Macaca fascicularis: one gene and its partners. The protein of the gene in region 4 interacts with the protein of the main gene of each other region in a pairwise test. Links are inferred from orthologs where the notes say so. Each region holds a gene or a part of one and is shown on either strand. Other genes may lie near its edges.

What was found.
Region 1: the proteins of MORF4L2 (region 4) and L3MBTL3 interact in binary tests that used the Homo sapiens proteins (3 or more experiments, as listed by UniProt). The two-hybrid records come from large-scale screens. The link is inferred for Macaca fascicularis from reciprocal best matches to the Homo sapiens genes MORF4L2 and L3MBTL3.
Region 2: the proteins of MORF4L2 (region 4) and MRGBP interact in binary tests that used the Homo sapiens proteins (3 or more experiments, as listed by UniProt). The two-hybrid records come from large-scale screens. The link is inferred for Macaca fascicularis from reciprocal best matches to the Homo sapiens genes MORF4L2 and MRGBP.
Region 3: the proteins of MORF4L2 (region 4) and ZBTB43 interact in binary tests that used the Homo sapiens proteins (3 or more experiments, as listed by UniProt). The two-hybrid records come from large-scale screens. The link is inferred for Macaca fascicularis from reciprocal best matches to the Homo sapiens genes MORF4L2 and ZBTB43.

The regions. Positions count from the first base shown.
Region 1 is NC_088378.1:34,011,645-34,016,168, reverse strand, and holds the start of L3MBTL3 (lethal(3)malignant brain tumor-like protein 3), read right to left. Parts: upstream 3,058-4,524; 5' UTR 2,974-3,057; intron 2,841-2,973; exon of another isoform or gene 2,684-2,840; intron 2,578-2,683; exon of another isoform or gene 2,401-2,577; intron 2,231-2,400; exon of another isoform or gene 1,925-2,230; intron 1,371-1,924; exon of another isoform or gene 973-1,370; intron 1-972. UniProt on the Homo sapiens protein: Is a negative regulator of Notch target genes expression, required for RBPJ-mediated transcriptional repression. It recruits KDM1A to Notch-responsive elements and promotes KDM1A-mediated H3K4me demethylation.
Region 2 is NC_088384.1:118,859,584-118,864,299, reverse strand, and holds the start of MRGBP (MRG/MORF4L-binding protein), read right to left. Parts: upstream 3,058-4,716; 5' UTR 2,986-3,057; coding exon 2,838-2,985; intron 2,394-2,837; coding exon 2,272-2,393; intron 33-2,271; coding exon 1-32.
Region 3 is NC_088389.1:17,205,970-17,210,712, reverse strand, and holds the start of ZBTB43 (zinc finger and BTB domain-containing protein 43), read left to right. Parts: upstream 1-1,686; 5' UTR 1,687-1,811; intron 1,812-4,743. UniProt on the Homo sapiens protein: May be involved in transcriptional regulation.
Region 4 is NC_088395.1:110,057,737-110,062,546, forward strand, and holds the start of MORF4L2 (mortality factor 4-like protein 2), read right to left. Parts: upstream 3,253-4,810; 5' UTR 3,194-3,252; intron 2,721-3,193; exon of another isoform or gene 2,706-2,720; intron 1,930-2,705; exon of another isoform or gene 1,861-1,929; intron 493-1,860; 5' UTR 403-492; intron 1-402. UniProt on the Homo sapiens protein: Component of the NuA4 histone acetyltransferase complex which is involved in transcriptional activation of select genes principally by acetylation of nucleosomal histone H4 and H2A.

The DNA of each region.
Region 1 (4,524 bases), on a different chromosome or scaffold from region 4:
CCATTTCTTCAAAAGTTTTAAACACATTTCAACTTCGCAGTTTTATTAACATTCAAAATGAAGTCATCAGCTGAGACTCATAATTAAAAATTGATCAGAGGTACAGACACCGATAAATGCAAAAGCAAACAATTGTTTCCAATTCAGGGAGCGATCAATCTCAAATCCCAGAATAAGAGCAAAGTGTTTTTCCCACATAACTCATGTCGGATGGAAGTTACAGGGTCTGAGTCCTCAGAATTCATTGCTCCGATTTACTAAACTTTCAATTTCTGATCAAGCATCCTTTCACACAACATCTGGCTGCTCGCTCAGGTCCTCTAATTACTTCCACGTCTGAACGGACTACGTAGCTACAAGTAAAGGCCAAACTTTGCTCTCGGCCTTCCGAACTTAAAGACGCGTTTAACCACTAGAGGTCTCCCCTTGGCCAGTTTTGCACGTTCGCTATTTTGCTGCACTTGAAACTTTCCGGAGAAATGCTCTCTACTCGAGTCAGTGTTTTTCTAAAAACTTGCGCAAAAATCCACGCGACCGAGATAGCCAGCACACAGCCTCTCGGACTCCCTAAACCAATAAAGACATCACAAACAACGCTCTAGGAAAACCAAAAGGAGAAATGGACGCACTTGCCCCGGCCGCGCCCCCCCACCCCAAAATCTTATTTCTCATCTCAGTTCCCCCTAACCTAACAATTAAAAATCTATTTTTGTTTCTATGCACTCTGAATGATCTCGAATGCATTTTTCTGGCGGTGGCCCCGAGGTGGAGAAGAAGCGGGCCAAGGGATGCGGGGCGTTGGGGGTGGGGGCGGTGAGGGGGAGGGCCGTGCTCACAGTGCCCAAGGAAGTTGCCTAAGGAAAGGGACTCTGTTTTTCGGGTCCCCTCAAAAAATCGGCGGGGAGGGGGAGGAAAAGGAAGCGGGGTGGTGGCAGCAGGGGGACTCAGAAGGGAAACCGAAGCAACGTTTACCTCCGTCTCCCGTGGAAGGGTGGGGTAAAGCCGCGGTCCCCGCGCCCCGGAGAGCAGTTAGTTACCCCCACCTCCCTCCGAGCGCAGGCGGACAGACCGACGCCCCCAGCCCTCCGCGGGGACCCGGGAGGAACCCGCCCGCTTTTAAACTTTCTCTCACGGTCGCGCTGCGGGCCGTGCTTTGACCGGGACGGGGGGAGGGGGGAATCGCAGGGCCTTTTTTTTCTTGAAAGGTAATTAAAGTTTTACCACCAGTCCAAAAGTTGCGCCCTCCCCCCGCCCGTGCCACCGTGCCCTCCTCCCCCTCCAGGCTCTCAAGTTTTCCTCCCTGCCCGCCGGCCCCCACACTCCACCAGCTCGCGGGGCGCGCGGCGGATGCCTCGGCTCCTGCGCTTCCCGATCCCCACCCCCGCCGGCCTCTACTTCCCCCCGCCCCGCCGCCGCGGCGCGAGGACGGCCCGCGGGGCCCAGGACGCGAGTGTGCAAAGCCCATTATTCCGGAACGGCACACGCACGCGGCGCGAGGCGGGCGGCGGCCCCGGCCCCGGCCCCGACCCCTCTTTTCCTCCCCAGGATAAGGCAGGCGTAAACAAGTTGCAGGAAAAGCAGCCCCGCGCCGCCCCCACCCTCCCCCCCCAGCCCGCCGCCCCGGCGCGGCCGCCGCCGCCGCGACCGCCGCCGCCGCCGCCTCCCGACACACGCCCGCGCCCGCGCCCGCACCCGGGCCGGCGCGGCGCGGCACGGCGCGGGGCGAACGCCGCGACGGCGCGGGCTCCCGGCCCGGCCCGCGGCCCGCGCCCTCTCCCGCGCGGACGGCCGCCGCGGGCCCGCGCCGCCTCGCTTCCCAAAGCACTTTCCTGCCTCGGGCAGAAATAAACCGGAGGGTTTATTTTTGTGCAACTTTCCCAAAATGGCGGAAATTGGAGCTGATCTATATGAAATTCTCACACACTCGGTCGGGAAGAGGGAGGCGGCGAGGAAGCCACGCAAACTCTCGGCCGCCGAGCCCCGCCGCGGGTCCGTGTGTGTGCGTGCGTGTGAGTGTGCGTGTGCGCGGTGGGAGTCGGGCAGGCCTTTCCGCCGCGCACACACACAGCACACGCCGGGGAGACGCGCCTGCACATTCAACCAGTCCATTCTCCGCAGCCCGAGAGGGGAGAAAGTGGCCCGGCCTCTTTTCCCACTGCCTCGGTCTCCCGTACTTGTACTTCTCGCGCTCGCCCGCCCGCTCGCTCGCTCTCCGGTGCGCGCCCGGCACAAAGGCCACACGGGCGGAGGGGGCCGCAGGGGCGGCGCGCGGGGCTCGCGCCTCCCGCCGCACCGATCCGCGTCCCCGGCCGCCCCCGCGCCCCCCGCCGGCGCCCCCCGCCTCGGCGGCCGCGCTCGCCGCCCGGGCTGCGGCTCCGCGGCGCCCACCCGGACACGCACCCCGGCGGAGCCCGGCGCCGCCGCGCTCCCCCACCCCGCGCCCGGTGTCACGAAAGCGACCAAAGTGACAAGCTCGGGGGGCGCGGGGGAGGGGGCCACACGCATCCCGCCGCCTGCGCGCCAGCCTGAGCCCGACGCGGCCGCCTCGCCCCGGCTCCCTTCCGCACGGCCCCCCACACCCTTCCCCGTGTGCGCGCAAAGAAAAAAATACAAGTCTCTCCTCCCCCCATTTTTTCCTTTCTCTTTTCTCTCTCTTTTGTTCCTCTTTCACACTCGCACTCACTACTTCAGAGTGAGATGCCCAGAGACTCCCTCTCCAGCCGTTTCCGAGTCACTTGCCCACTTTTTTCCCCGGGATTAAGTTTTCTCCTCTTTCCCAGAGGCGCAGAGAAGTGGGGGAGAAACCCCTTCTGTCCCTCCCCTCCCCTGATCTGTTTCACAAGACGAGGGTGCGCTTCCTTCCCTCTATAGGGCTCTTAACTTTCATCCTCACCCAGAAAAATAAATGAATGGCTTTTGCACGGACAAATCTTCAGATTAATTAGAGATTAGATCCGATCAACCGCTTCTTACCCCCAAATTTTCTCTTTTTTTTTTCTCCGTCTCACGAGTAGTCCTGACAAATGGTCCAGGGCTGCGGGCGCAGTGCGCATGTGCGCGTAGAGTCAGGGCTGGGGAGAGGGGAAACTGCGCTGGTGCCGGTGCCGCCGCCGCCGCCGCCGCTGCCGGGGAGGCTCGCTCTGGCTTCCCTGTTACTGCTGCTGCGCCTTCGCCGCTGGAAAGCAGCAATAAAGCCGGGTGGCAAATGCAGCTGCCCGCAGATCCTGTTTCAGGTGCATCTTTTCAATAGCCCGGTCACCGCCTGAGAGCTGGTTCAAGAACAGTCCAAACAAATAGGAAACACTGCTAAGGTTCCAGATTTCTTTGTCTATTTTTCACTTTACTTTTTTTAAAGGCAATTCTCAGAGCAGCGAATCCACCATGTGCTGCGAAATGTATGCATTCAGCCATTAAAGAGTGGGCCTTAGTCTTGCACAAACATTACCCAAAGGCTAAATACATGCTACAGGTCATGAAAAGTAACAAAGTTGTAAGCTTTGGGAGAGTACAATCTTCCCCTCTTTGATGGCTGGAAGAATGCATAATAAAGAAAGTGTGCATATAAAACTTGTGCCTTCTTTCCGCTTCCAAAGTGCGGATCTTTATTGACAGCTCCAACATGTTAGGCCTCTGTCGAGTGATAGGCTGAGATTCCTACAGTAACTTAGAAATCACTGTGAAAGTCCCTTGGCAATAAGCAGGTCCAGGACTACCCTCTTAACGTATTCAGTCAAGATGGCTGAGCGGTCCTAAATGGCAAAACCTGTCTTTGTTAAAGTGTCAAAACTAGATCAAGAGAGTATTACATTTCGGTATTGACAGCTTTCCACGCATTGACTGCAGGCCGCCATTTGGACAGCTTCACCGGTCTTCTTTTCTACTGAATAGGAGTACTTACAAAATAATTCGAGTAATTAAAGTTTTAATAAATATTTTGATGTCAATAGTAGAGTTTCTGTGTGAAAAAAAAAAAGTAGCATGTGTGATTTTAGGAATGAGGGAAGCATGTCTTAGATTTCGCAGGGGTGGGGAGGTAAGGGGAAGTCCCCATCCGCAGAGTAGACTATTTATTTTGCATCTAATAAAGGGTAAAGGAGGCCCTTTTCTGAAACTGCTGCCTGAGGCCTAGAATTTAAATATATCACAGATGGAAGTTCTATATTAAAAATCCTTCTCCAAAATGTAGGGAATATTATTCTTGATTGAAATTTTTCACTTAAGGAATGTTTCTTGAACCAGTTTCAGAAAATAAACTCTTAAATTCTTTCCTTAGGACCATGAAATTACCCTATAGAAGCAGACCACCCGATATATCTAATGTTGGTGTGCTGACCAAATTCTCCAAACCAAAAATCAGGACATATGCCTTAACAGGTACTCCAGAACAAAGGGACAAATCCTGTGAAGCTGGAATGAACTTATAAAATGCTTCATATGTTGAACAGCCGTTGATTGAGGGGTGTGAAGTAGAGAAGACTGGGTAGTGAGAGCTATAGATGATCTCAAACCACCAGTTCACTATTG
Region 2 (4,716 bases), on a different chromosome or scaffold from region 4:
GGATTCGGGAATGGAAGAATCTCAGACTCATGCTGATGTCAAATAGAGAGTTTTAAGAAACAAGGGTGAAGATGCGGTTTCAAGAAGCCACTACAGCCATGTAAGAGCCACTTGGTGAGCAGCCAGCGAGCACATGTCACTGTGTTGGAGGCTGCGGTGGGCGGGGCATGGGCAAAGGGCATTTCTTCTTTTTGTGAACAGTGCCTGCTACAGCTGGGCTTTTCAGACAGACCCAGGGAGGGCAGAACCAGTGGAGGCACGTGCAGGGGTCAGGAAGACCCACCGGGGCCGGCATCACTAAGGTGGGCCCTGAGGACCGGGTAGCCCTGGTGACATACACCTGTGGGCCCTGCCTGCCCACCACGGCCTACGGTCTCACCAAGAGACTGCACACCTGTGGGTCCTGCCTGCCCACCACGACCTATGGTCTCACCAAGAGACTGCGTTCCCCAAGGCGGTGTGCAGAGGGCACGGTGACAGCCCTGGGGAAAGGCCGCAGGCACCTCAAGTTCTCATCCACATGGCAGGAACCCATGGACACTGAGGGTGTCAGTTGGGAGCGCCACAGGCACAGAACCAGGCAAGGAAGAAGAGCAGATGGAGCAGGGCCACCCGAGTGCTTGCCAGGCACTGCCCTCCTGAGGTCACACAGACCAGAGGGAGAGACTGGGAGCCAGGGAAAAGTGGAGCTGGCGGGAAGGGCCCTGGACTGGGAGGCGATTCAGGAGACAGGGGCTTCTACTCGGCAGTTTGGGTGCTGTATGGAACAGGCAGTCAGGCCACATTTGTGCTCCTCAAAATCTCCTGGGCCAGCTGGTCAGCCTCTCGGGGGTACTCCAGGGGCTCTGTATTTCATAAGGTCTGAAAGACTCAGATCTCAGTCACACAGAAGTGTCATGGTCCAGAGAAAGTGCCAGCCTGTGGTCTTGCCCAGTCCTTACTGATGTCATAGGCCACTGCAGGAATAAGGAACAGGGCCACAGTCCTAGGGCTGAAAGGCCTGGCGGTCCCACATGGCTTCCTGAGTGTCATGTGGGCTGCTGTGCTCATCTGAGCCAGCACCCATGCCCCAGGGGACATTATGGGCCTTGGAGCTGTTTGTCTTCCCCAGAGACAGGCATAGATTTACACCGATCTCTCCAAATCCCGGTGTGGGAGGTGTCTGGGGACCTAGCGCCCTCTCCCACAACCAAGAGGCTGCTGGGAGTTTGGTGACAGGGGGCCTCTGACCCTGAGGGGTGGTGACCAGGGTTCAATGGCTGATGGATACGCTCTAGGGAGGAGCGGGTCCAGGGAGGACCTTGTGAGCTTAGTAGCCAGCTGTGTCTGGGCCACTAGGTACTGGTCACCCAGTGCAAATGCCGCACTGGCTCAGAACGTCCTCAACACACGAGGCGGCAGCAACAGGGGCTTAAGCTTCCAGGGCATTTCTAGGGCTGAGCATCCTTCCTCTCCTCAGACAGCCAGGCCCCTGCACGGCTGGCATCTCTGTCCCCTTTCTACAGCTATGACAAGGAGACCCACATCACTCCACCAATGTCAACGGCAAGCATTCCTTGCCTCAGTGGTGCCCCTATGTCTTCCTGGAAGGGCTGGTGTGGCCCTGAGTCCAGCGTGGCTGGCACAGACTCTCCTTCCACCAGCACAGGTCCCCACTCCTCCTGGTCACCTGACCCCTGACCCCCACCCCATTCTCCAAGCACACCACCTTCTTTCAACTCCTGGACCCACCACCTCCTGCTGCCACAGAGCCTGCAACACCCACCTGTCTCTCGTGGCCAGCCTGCTTACCTAGCTAACGCGCTCGCCCGTCACACACTGCCAGCTCCAAGCTCTGTGAGGACTGGGACTCTATTTGCCTGACTCCCACAGAAGCCACCAAATTCACCTTGGTGTGACTCAGATAGGGTCACCCTCTGCCTAAAGCACTTCTGGGGCATCCCGGGAGGCTGACAAGGGCCTAAGGGCCTGGGGCCTCTGCATCCTTCCCTCCCTCCCCAGGGTCTCAGCTGGAGGCTCTGGCCCAGCACCCAGTCTAAAGCAGGCCCCCTGAAAAGCTGGCCAGCTGCTAGCATTGTGTTTGTGCTTTCCATGACAGGCTCTGGAGCCCTGGGATGCCCTCCTTAAGGATGGGTCTCACTGCAGGGGGCTCTGCCCAGCAGACCCCAGCAGGCATGGAGGGGCCTCTGCTCTGCCCAGCTCAGGCTGACCCTCAGCGGTGTGTGGGTTCGTGCCCCCATCGGGCAGCACAGGGAGGGTGGTTGGGCTCACCAGTGCCTGCATGTCGTACATGGTGCTCAGGTGGTCCCAGATGACCTTGGATGGGACCTGCCGCCCGATGTTCTGGCTGAACTTGTCCCGGATACAAATCATGTGGAAGTGTCGGTTCACACCTGGGGGAAGGAGGGGCGGCGGGACAACCGGTCAGAGGGGAGGAGAAGGAGAAAGGGGATGGGGGGGATAGGGTGCCCTGGGGACTGGAGGGGCAAGGGTGGCCGCGGTGGGATGGGGCGGGCCAGGGTGCGGAGAGGCTGTCGGGGGGCAGGGCTGGGTGGTGTGTGTGGGAGGGGGTGGGGCGTCCCGGGGCAGAGGTGGGGGTGGGGCGCTGCGGGCTGGGGCCTCGCGGTGTCACGGGGGTAGGGGCCGGGGGCGGGGTCCGGGGCGGGGTCCGAAGGGCGCGTGGGAGGGGGCGGGGGTCCCGGGACGGGTGTGGCGGGGGTGTCACGGCCCGGGCTCGGCGGGGCGCGTGGGGGCGCGGGTGCCGCGAGCGCAGGCCCCGCCCCGCCCCGCCGGTTGCCCGCCCCGCCCCCACGCGCGTCCGCGGCCTGGGCGCTCACCGACGGGCTTGTGGCCCAGCATGGCGTGGAAGAGGCACACCTCCACCTCGGGGCTCCACACCACTGTCTCCTCCGCCGGGCTGGTGGCCGCCTCCCCTGGGCCCTTGTCGCCTGCGGCGCCCCCGCCGCCCACCTCGGCCTCTCCCATGGCCGCGGCCCGGCCGAGCAAGGAGCCCCCGGCGGGAGCAGGCGCGGCCACGAGCTCCGCGCAGGCGCACTCGGGGGCGGGCGCGCGCTTCGCCAGGCACGAGCTCCGGCTCACGCGCCGGCGTCGGCGCAGGCGCAGCCGAGGCCTCGGGTCCCTTCCCGCCGGGGACTCCGCCCTGCTCCGCCCCGTGCGGGGGTGCTTAAAACGTGTTCCTCTTTAAAGCACAGTAAGTGTTCTAACACTTCACCCAAACAACAACAGAAAACTTTTTTGCTTCAAAGAAAACCATCAGCAAAGTGAAAAGACGACCCACAGATTGGGAGAAAGTATTTGCAAATCCTGTATCTGATAAGGAACTTCCTTGCAGAAGGTATAAATATAACTCTATAATAAAAAGACAGTCTAACTATAAAACGGCAAAGGATTTGGATACACATTTTTCCAAAGAAGATGTACAGATGGGCCGGGCGCGGTGGCTCACGCCTGTAATCCCAGCACTTTGGGAGGCCGAGGCGGGAGGATCATCTGAGGTCAGGAATTCGAGACCAGCCTGGCCAACATGGCATAATCCCGTCTCTACTAAAAATACAACAAAATTAGCCGGCCGTGGTGGCGGGCGCCTGTAATCCCAGTTACTTCGAGAGGCTGAGGCAGGAGAATCGCTTGAACCCGAGAGGCGGAGGTTGCAGTGAGCGGAGATCGCGCCATTGCAATCCAGCTTGGGCAACAAGAGAGAAACTCCGACTCGGGAAAAAGAAAAAAAAAGATGTATAGATGGCCAATGAGCACCATCGGTCACGCGAAACGCGAACCAGCCCGCGTGGGGACCCCCTTCCCCGCCGAGACCGCCGCAACCACGCGGCCGGGGTGGCGAGTACTGCGAGGATCCGGACTCGGGACCCTCGTGCGGTCGTGCTGTGGGGCCAGATGGAGTCGCTGCTGCGAAAGACAGAACGGCCGTTCCTTCAACGATGGAACCGTCTCCCTAGGAGGCAGCAGCTCCGTGGCGGGCGCCCGCAACGGTGGAACAAGACACAGGTTCAGGCTGGGATCCGCAGCCGCAAGGCTAGCGCCGCCCCCAACCGGGGCTGAACCGGCTAGGGGCGCACGGAGCGCGGGCACCCGCACGGCGCAGCCGCGTTCAGCCTAAAAGCCGCGAGCGCGGACTGCGGCAGCGTGGGTGCGGGCTGAGACGAAAGTCAGAGAATTCAGACACCAAAATACGCAGCATGGGAATCCATTCACAGGAAGAGCCAGAACTGGCAACTCCATAGAAATAGAAAGTAGACGCACAGTTGCCGGGGACGGGGGAGGGGGAGGGAAACGCGAGTCACTGCGGATGGGGATCGGCTTCTTTTTTGTTTCTGAGGCAGAGTCTCGCTCTGTTGCCCAGGCTGGGGTGCAATGGCGCGATCTTGGCTCACTGCAACCTCTGCCTCTCGGGTTCAAGCAATTCTCCCGACAGACTCCCGAGAAGCTGGGACCACAGGCCCTCACTACGGCCGGCTAATTTTTGTATTTTTAGTAGAGACGCGGTTTCACCATGTTGGCCAGGCTGGTCTCGAACTCTTGACCTCAGGTGATTCCCCCCCTCCTCGGCCTCCCAAAGTGCTGGGATTACAGGCTTGAGCCACCGCGCCGGGCTACGGCCCAGCTTCTTTTTAAGGAGGTGAAATGCTCTGGAATTAGATAATGGCCACGGTTGCTCGCAACAGAACCCCACCGAATCGT
Region 3 (4,743 bases), on a different chromosome or scaffold from region 4:
CTTACCACTTCATAGGCACATGATGGCAGTTGAACTTCCAAACTTCAGGTCTGCTTAGAGGCAGGAATAAAAGTGGCAAAACACTTAAAGAGTATACTCAACTAGGCTAGGCGCAGTTGCTCATGCCTGTAATCCCAGCACTTTGGGAGGCCAAGGTGGGTGGATCATGAGGTCAGGAGTTTGAGACCAGCCTGGCCAAGATGGTGAAACCCTGTCTCTACTAAAAATACAAAAATTAGCCGGGCGTGGTGGCGGGCACCTGTAGTCTCAGCTACTCGGGAGGCTGAGGCAGGAGAATTGTTTGAACCTGGGAGGCGGAGGTTGCAGTGAGCCGAGATTGCGCCACCGCACTCCAGCCTGGGCAACAGAGCAAGACTTTGTCTCAAAAAAAAAAAAAAAGGCGGGGGGGCTGGAGCATACATGTTTTAAGTAGAATCTTTGACAAGCTGTTCTGCATCCATTCCCATTTCTGTGCTTCCATATTTGTTTTCTTTCATTTCGCTTTCTAGAAATTTTTTCTTTTCTTTTCTTTTTTCTTTTCTTTTTTTTTTTTTTTTTTTTTTTGGTAGAATTCTCTCTAGAAAAGCTACACTCCTGTGTCCTAGGGCCCAACAACAAGCAAGACAGGCATAATAGCTGGGAAGCCAATCAGCTTAAACTAAGACAGACAATATCAAAAGGGCATGTCTAGCCCAGGAGAACATCCACCCTAAATCCAGAAGGCATTATGACCACATCTCTTCAGCTGCCTGGATTTCAGGTATAAATTAGCTCTTCCACAAAGAGGGCACTTGGTCTATAAACGGGTCCAAAGGTAAGAGTCCCACTGCTATAAGACCTATCTCTCTTCTACACTAACGTGGTGGGGCAAGGGGGAAGAAAGGGGTGAGAAGGATGGAGGGTTTGGGGAAGGAGTGGGAGAACTGGAAGCTAGAGAGATCGTTTCTGTCCCACCATCTGTGTGACCCCAGTGCCCAGCACAACGCAGCCCACGGAAAGGCACTGGTCCTTTCATTGAACGTTTACTGAACATCTACTACATGCCAAAAAGCTGGATGGGTGCTGTGGAGGCAGAAATGGATTTGGAGATAATCTCCGCCAGGCAAACTGAGGTCAAGGTTTTCGTTTGTTTGTTTAGAGAAGAGACGGAGAAGGTCAAGGTGTTTTTGTTTTGTTGTTGTTGTTAAGAGTCTTGCTCTGTGCCCAGGCAGGAGTGCAGTGGCATGATCTCGCCTCACTGCAACCTCTGCCTCCCGGGTTCAGACAATTCTCCTGTCTCAGCTTCCCAAATAGCTGGGACTACAGGCGCCAGTAACCACACTCAGCAATTTTTGCATGTTTTGTAGAGACAGGATTTCACCATGTTGGCCGGGATGGTTTCGAACTCCAGCCTCAAGCGATCTTCCCGCCTCGGCCTCCCAAAGTGCTGGGATTACAGGCGTGGGCTACCGCGCCTGGCCTATGTCAAGGTTTCAAGAAGGTTTAGAACTCGGTATCTGCTCCCCTATTTTCAACAGCTTAGTCAGTCCCTAAAATTGATTGACCCGCTCCAGACTGTACTGCGCAGGCGCCCGCTACCTATGCGCTCTCTCCGGACGCCCAGCTCAGACAGTGAATCCCGCATGCGCACTCCTCTTTCTCTCTGGCGCACCCCCGGAAGCACTGTCAATTTCGGGGGGCGGGACCGGGAAGCGTTTCCGGGGGCTGAGGCACAGGCTGAATCTGTTGCGGCAGCGAAGGCTAGAACAGGCCTGCGCCGGCGGCGGAGAGGATCCCTTGGACGGGGGATGTGAGCGCTGAGCCCTTGGCAGGTACTGAGTGGCCAGGACCACGGGCGGCAAGGCTAAGGGAGGAGAAGTTGGTGGGGGAGTTAAGGGCTCCTCTGCAGGCCCCGACGCACGCGCCGCTTGCCCCGCCAGGCCCATTCCGTGGACCGGCATGCTAAAGCCCCGCGCGGAAGGTTGGGGTCCCGGCGCCCCAGCTCCGAATCCCGCAGTCTCCTGCCCACACGGCGCGCAGACCGCGATACCAAGGCCTTTGGGGCAGCTTCTCGCCCAAGGTCACCCTCGCGGCAGCGGAGCTCCGCCGGCCACAGCGCTTAGAGATCCTGCCCCCGTCCGTCCGCTGGCCTTTCGGGGCGTAGGGTGGGCGCGGCTTGACGGCCTCGGGTTCGAGCCACCAATGCGTGAAGCCTGAAGAGCCGAGCTGGCAGAAAGACTGCGCCTGGACTTCTCTGATCTTCTTTTCCCTTCTGTTTCACCCCGGTTGCTGTCTCTGTCACCTGTTGTAACCTGTCCTTTTTGTCTTTCAGCTAGGTCCCTGTCAACCTGATATTTCTCTCCACTTTGTCTTTCTCGGGGTATATGGATCCTGTTTCATATCTGTCTCCACCTTGCTTCTGTGTCTGTTCACCCTGTCTCTGCCACTCAGCCCTTACTCTAATTCAGGGCCTGTCAGTCTAGCTTTTTGGCCATCTGTCTGTTTTTCTCTCTTTCTTCCAACTTTTTTTTTTCCTCTTGTTTCTGTTTCCTAGCTGAGTTTGTCTGGGTAGGGCAGGGCTGCCCAGACCTCTGAGCCATGGAAGGTGACTCATGACCCCGTGAAGCTCCCTGCACTGGTGACACTCTCAGTGATTCGACCGCAGTTTGGCCTCAGCTCTGACAGGTGCCGCCCAACATAAGTGTCAGAGTGCAGGAGAGTCTGTCAGGGAGACAGGAGGCCCATTTTGGGGCCAGAGCAGCTTGATGAGTCCTAGCCTTTTCTCGCCTGTGGTTTTTCAGGCCTGCACAGCTTCCCAAATCCCTTCACTCCATCCACTTAACCACGGGATGGTCTCCAGGGATCTCTGGAGCCTGCTCTTTGAGTTACAGCTGTTTAACTGGCCTGTCTACAGGCTAAAGAAGGATCAGACTGAGATCTTTGGGGCTACTGGAACAGTAGCAGAGTTTCTGGGAGAGCTGCATGCTTAGTTCAGAGACTGTGTCAGCATTTTCGGTTAAATTGTAAGAAACCTAATAATCGGGGATTTATTATTTGCTTTACAAAAGTACCACGGGAGAAATAAACCGTACACAAAAGGACAAATATTGTTTGAGAGCACTTAAATGAAGTACCTAGAATAAACCAATTAAGAGACGGAAAGTAGAATAGTTTACCAGGGGCTGGAGAGAGGAGTTAGTGCTTAATGGATACAGAACAGAGTTTTGGGGGATGATGAATAAAGTCTGAAAATGGGTTGTGATGATTGCACAATATTGTGAATGTACTTCACTGAATTGGACTCTTAAGAATGCTTAAAATTGTTAAGTCTTAAAGTTTTATGTATATTTTATACAATACAAAAAAAACAAAAACAGTATTCATTGGAGACTCCTGAAACCAATAAGCTCCTTTTTTTTTTTTTTTTTTTTGAGACGGAGTCTTGCTCTGTCACCCAGGCTGGAGTGCAGTGGCCGGATCTCAGCTCACTGCAAGCTCCGCCTCCCGGGTTTACACCATTCTCCTGCCTCAGCCTCCCGAGTAGCTGGGACTACAGGCGCCCACCACCTCGCCTGGCTAGTTTTTTGTATTTTTTAGTAGAGACGGGGTTTCACCGTGTTAGCCAGGATGGTCTCGATCTCCTGACCTCGTGATCCGCCCGTCTCGGCCTCCCAAAGTGCTGGGATTACAGGCTTGAGCCACCGCGCCCGGCCCAATAAGCTCCTTTTACGTGTAATTTTTCAAAATTCATTCTGTAGTTGTTAGGAACATTTAGTTGAACCTGGGTTTATTGATTCCTACTCTCTTTACAGCAGTGGGTACAGCTGAGGTTCTTAGAAAAGTTTAGTTAAATGGATATGGTTAAAATCTTCCTCAAGCTTTCTACTTACTTTCTGCCCTGGCTCTCTTCCCTCTGCCTTTCTTGGAATCAGTGCAAGAATCTGCTCATAAGTAGGATACTTGATAATTATACTCTTCACAGGAAGAAAACTCATAAGGTTGAAAAATAGCCCTTTTATTATAATGCAAAATTATGTGTTATTTCTTGAGTTTTCTTATGGGGGATGCCTTTGTGGGTTTTTTGTTTTTTAAAATCTCTTATTTAAGCTCTTTGCCTTTAAGGTAGTTTATTAAACTTTCTAATAAGATATCGCAACTGAATTACTAGTTTATTTCATTGAATGCTAGATGCTGTTGATTATTTCATGTACCACTAAGGAAGAGAGAAACCCTGCTAATTAAACTATGGCTTAATGCGCTCTTATCGTTTAGACTTTTTATTATTGAAAACACTTTTAAACTTAGACACTAAAAAATGGTATCAATGCCTATGCTAATGCATGTATATACAAAGGAAAAATAAGAATAAATTGGTTAAAGTATTCATTAAAGTTAACATTCCAGGTTCTACTCTTTATACTTTTCAGTTCAGAGTGTGTCCATATTTTTTCTAGCGTGTCATCCTTTGTGTCATCAAGAACATTGATGAGGACCTCAGCAGTTCGCTGTCATTGCCTCAGGCTGTGACAACTATTAAAACTGCCACCTGGTGATCACATGCTGATTTCAGGAATTTTAAAATGTGAAAAAATGCATGTCTGAAAATTAATTGAATAGTATCATTTTCGTGAACTTTTCCATTTCTTTTTTCTTTTTCTTTTTTTTTTTGTGATGGAGTCTCGCCTTGTCACCCAGGCTAGAGTGCAGTGGTGCAGTCTCTGCTCACTGCAACCTCCACCTCCCAGGTTCAAGCGATTCTCCTGC
Region 4 (4,810 bases):
TATGAGGAACTTAGGTATAAAGTGAGTAAGTATCTTACCCAAGATCACATAGTTAAGTGGCAGAGCCAGGATTTAAATTCAGGAAGTATTTGCTCTTAACCACTAAACTATGCTGCATATAGGATGCTCCAAAGAAAAATGTAATATATGGAACTGTGGAACTACTACAGGGGATTGACTGTAATATCTTTTATCAAGAGATGTAAGATTACACAGTCCTCTGTTGCTTATGTACTTTCTATACTGAAACTACCAATGGACTTAGCCCCATCCTTCTCTTCTCAGAATTTAGACTACTTTCCCAGATAGGAGCTTATTAATTTTCAAAATATTCCTGGACAGTTAGGAAGGTTATGTGGTATTATCTTGTTTAAGAACTGAGGCCAGAAGGGAGGCACTTACCCAAGATTCTGTAATCAGGGAAGGTTCTGCAATCAGGATCAGACCTCCTGATCCTCACTATACAGCAAACTTAGCTTTTCTGATGGTGACCTAGAAGGTCAAACAAAAGGACAGGAAAGGACATAAAATAAAAAGATATGAGATATGGCTTTCTTCTACATCAGCCAATGCAATTTCATCACACACAAAGGACACCAAAGCTGATAAATAATGTACAAGTATTTCTTTTTCCTTTCTTGTGGCTACATTTTCAAATTTAACTTATTGTATATTTATATAACTTCTGACAATTTTTTTAACTTTTCCTTAAAGATAATTTCAAATGGATGAAATAAAAGAATAGTATTACAAACCTACACGAATCCATCATCCAGCTTTCAACAATTACCAACTGAAGGCCATCTTGTTTCATCTATAACCCCACCCACTGCTCCCCCCCACCCCCGACTTTTTCAAGCTCACGGGAATATCTGACTTCTGTATTTTATTATACAAAAATTTAAACGTATACCAAGGAAAGCAGATTAATATACGGAACCCACTGCCTATCACTCAGCAAAAACTATTATTAATTTAGGGTCAATTTTGTTTCATCTATACCCCTCCCCATTTCCCCCTACCGCTTAGATTATTTTGAAGCAAATCCTAGTCATTAATGTATTTAGAAGCCAATCCCAGACATTATATTATTTAATCCGTAAATATTTTCGTATATGTCTCTACAAAAAAGGACAATTTGAAAACATAATCACAATACTACTGTGACGCCTAAAAAAATTGACATCAATTCCTTAAAAAACATCAAATATCGAATCCATGTTCCAATTTTCCCGATGCGTCTTAAACATATTTTTACAGTTGGTGTGTTCGATTCAGGATCCAAACAAGGCCTACTCATCGCATGTGGTTCATCTCCAGCTCGCTCTCGTTCTCCATCTCTTTCTTTCTCGCACTCCACCCCCCCACCTTTTATTTAACTTTTCAACATGGGAAAATTACAATCTCTGCAATTTTGAGGCAATTCCCAAAGAGCAAATTATTTCATTGGTAAAAATTGATATATCTCTTTTATCTTTAATTTATTCTAGGAAAGAAGTTGATGGCAGAAAGGGCACTACAATTAGCGAATTTATATAATTTATAATTTTTCTCATTCTATTACGTGTATTATTTATCTCCATAACAATAGCTAATATCTTCAGGGGCCAGGCTTCATATTACGTGCCTTATACGCACCATTATACAGTACACGTCTCTGAGGTAGATACTATTATTATCACCATTTTACAAACATGGAAACCGAGACACAGAAAGAACAGGAGCCTTGCCCAAGCTGGGCGTTGGCGAGCAGGAATCTGAATCCAGCTCTGACCGATTGTGAAGGAACTAGCTAATCCCGTCTATACCCGACGAAAAGAGGAAATCATCGACCCTTTCTCCCCACCCCCACCCCGAAACCTGAAACGAGAATCCAGATCTTCCCAGCAGACGACGTGTGATCACTGCCGTTCCTCCAACCGCCATAGTAAAGCCAGGTTTCTCTGGCAACTGATATCCATAGGCAGACACGTCACCCTGGAGGAGGGCGTATGCCCTTCAGCCAATCACAATCGTCTTGTCTAAGTTTTAGAATGTTCCATAACCAAATGATTGGACAACCACCCCCACGTCAGCAATGACACTTCGCCGCAGTAAAGGCGGGTGCTAGCAACCTGCTTCTTCACTGTTAAGGCCTACAGCAAACCAATCCTCTTCCTCCGTCAGTGCGCGTTCCGGCCAATGACGTTCGCCCTCTTAGGTTTTTAGCCCGCCCTCCAAAAGCGTGACAGCCGTTGGGTCATAAGTCTATAGGGCAGAATGTTCACGTGGCCTATTTCACGACCCAGAGTTCCTCTGACCAGAAGGTTTTTTTTTTTTTCCTTTTCCTTTTTTTTTTTTTTTTAATTTTTTTCCTGCAGGGAGGCATTATGGGTTTGTGTTTCCCCCCAGCCCCCCACTGGGAGAGGAAGTGTCTACGTGGCCTGCGGAAATAGGCGGAAATGAGCTAAGGTTCCCGCGAGTGGGGAAGCGCGAGGTCAAATCTGGAGCCACGCCCCCAGGCCTGTGGCGCAACTCCCCGAACATGGAAAAAAAAGGCGCAGTGGGGGGTTCTGCTGTGTTTGCGAGTTAGGGTCGTGAGTGCAACGGGCGCAAGGCATTAAGGCCAGTGTGTTAGTGCGCGGGCAGGCTCGAGTGCCCCTGGGGTTGCTGTGTGAGCGGCCCTCGTGGCGCTGGAGGTGATGTGTTTGCGCAGGCGTGCGCCCCTGGCGTCTGGACTGGTGAGAGCCACGGCGCGCGCCCGCGTGCGTGATTGGGGTGGGAGTTGCGGGGAGGGGTTAGCTACTGCGCGCAGGTTATCTATTTCTGTATTTTGTTTGAAAATGTTCTAATGAAAAGGAAAATAAATAATTAAGGCAAGGCGACAATAACAGAGATAAAGGGGCACTGTCAGAAATATTTTGGCTTTCCCTGATTTAAATACTCCTCTGTGCCAAAATCCGGTCGTAAACCACAGCCCTCCAATGATTCAGAGCCAAAGCCTTCCATCGTCACATTAGCAACTCCAAAGGGAGACTTCTTTCAAGTTGTCTAGTATCCTCCTCCCTCCCCTCTTCCACACCTCCCCCCTCCCTTCAAGGTTGCGTGCAGTTCTCTTGGCACAAATACAATTTTCCTATGAGAATATCTATCTATGACAGCCTTCCCCTCCGTTAGAGACTCCGGATTTTTATGGTGACTAGGGCGCTCTTACCTTTGCGTTCTGATCTCCAAGCAAGCACACTGACCTTCTTCAGGCAAATACGCACTGTTAATTTTCCAGAAAGTTCTGTGGGTAAGGTTTATACCTCTCGAGTTCGCCACTAGATGCCGCCAAATCCCAGCAAAGGATTGGCTGTGTGGTCCCTGGGATTCTGGGATTTTGTTTCCCTCCCCCCTCCCCTTTCTTGATTTGCTGAACGCTAATATCTAAGGCATCATTGATATCGTTCATTCCTAGGAAAAAATAAAATCAGCTTCTGTGAATAGCACTAGTAGGCAGGGAACTGTGACCCAAGATCCAAATAATTTTACTCATTTCTTTCCTTTTCTCCTTGGGTGGGGGGGCGGGGGGGAAGGCCCCTCTCCATCCCTCGCTTCTTTTGTCCTTGCCTTGTTTAATCAAAGAGTTAATGAATGACCCAAGCACTGATGCTGAAGATCCTAACCCTTTTTCCTCAACTTTTCAAATGCTCGCAACTCACCCAAACTGAAAATACAGATAGCTGTTACTTTAGTAAAGAGATAAGAACTCATCAGTAAAACTTGGACCCTGGTATTGAAAACTGATTTTCCAAGGCCGGGCGCGGTGGCTCAAGCCTGTAATCCCAGCACTTTGGGAGGCCGAGGCGGGCGGATCACAAGGTCAGGAGATCGAGACCACAGTGAAACCCCGTCTCTACTAAAAATACAAAAAAATTAGCCGGGCGCGGTGGCGGGCGCCTGTAGTCCTAGCTACTCAGGAGGCTGAGGCAGGAGAATGGCGTGAACCCGGGAGGCGGAGCTTGCAGTGAGCCGAGATCGCGCCACTGCACTCCAGCCTGGGCAACAGCGTGAGACTCCGTCTCAAAAAAAAAAAAAAAGAAAACTGATTTTCCTTTTCTCTTGAAATTTGTATCAGATATGTGTGTTTGCACCCTATTTTCTGTAGTGGTATTGGTAGATTTTATTGTGTCTTTGGAGTGAGAGAAAGAGACTTAATTGTTAACCTCATTCCACCACTTACTAGTCTCAGTACCCTGGGCAAATGATTTATGTTCTGTGATCCTCAGTTTTTTGTATGCTTTCTATATTTTAGATGCTGTGTTATATCCTTCATGTCGATTTTTTTTTAAATTTATCACCAAGTCCTTATTAGATGAGCAGTACTAGATCAAAGTCAAACAACAAAAATCATACCCCTTTCAATTATCTATCTTATATACTTGTACACAAGAGGGATTTTTTTAGAGCAGTGGTTCACAAGATGTGTTTCCTGGATGTACCAGAAACATCAGCATCACCTGAAAAATTGTCAGAAATTCACATTCTCAGGTCCCACCTCAAACTTAATGAATCAGAAGTTCGCACGGTGGGGTTTGGTAATCTGTGTTATTACAAACTATCCCAGTGATTCCAGCACACACTGAAGTTTGAGAACCACTGCTTTGGAGAGTAGAAATGCAATGCATATTTTTGTATACACCACTAGAGGGTGCTACAGAATGTAAAGCAAAATAATAAATGATGCACAGTATATGTTTTCACACACCATCCATATTATCAGTCCTATTTTACAGATTGAAAACTAATGTGTAGAGATGTCAAATTATTTTCTTAGTGCACACAACAA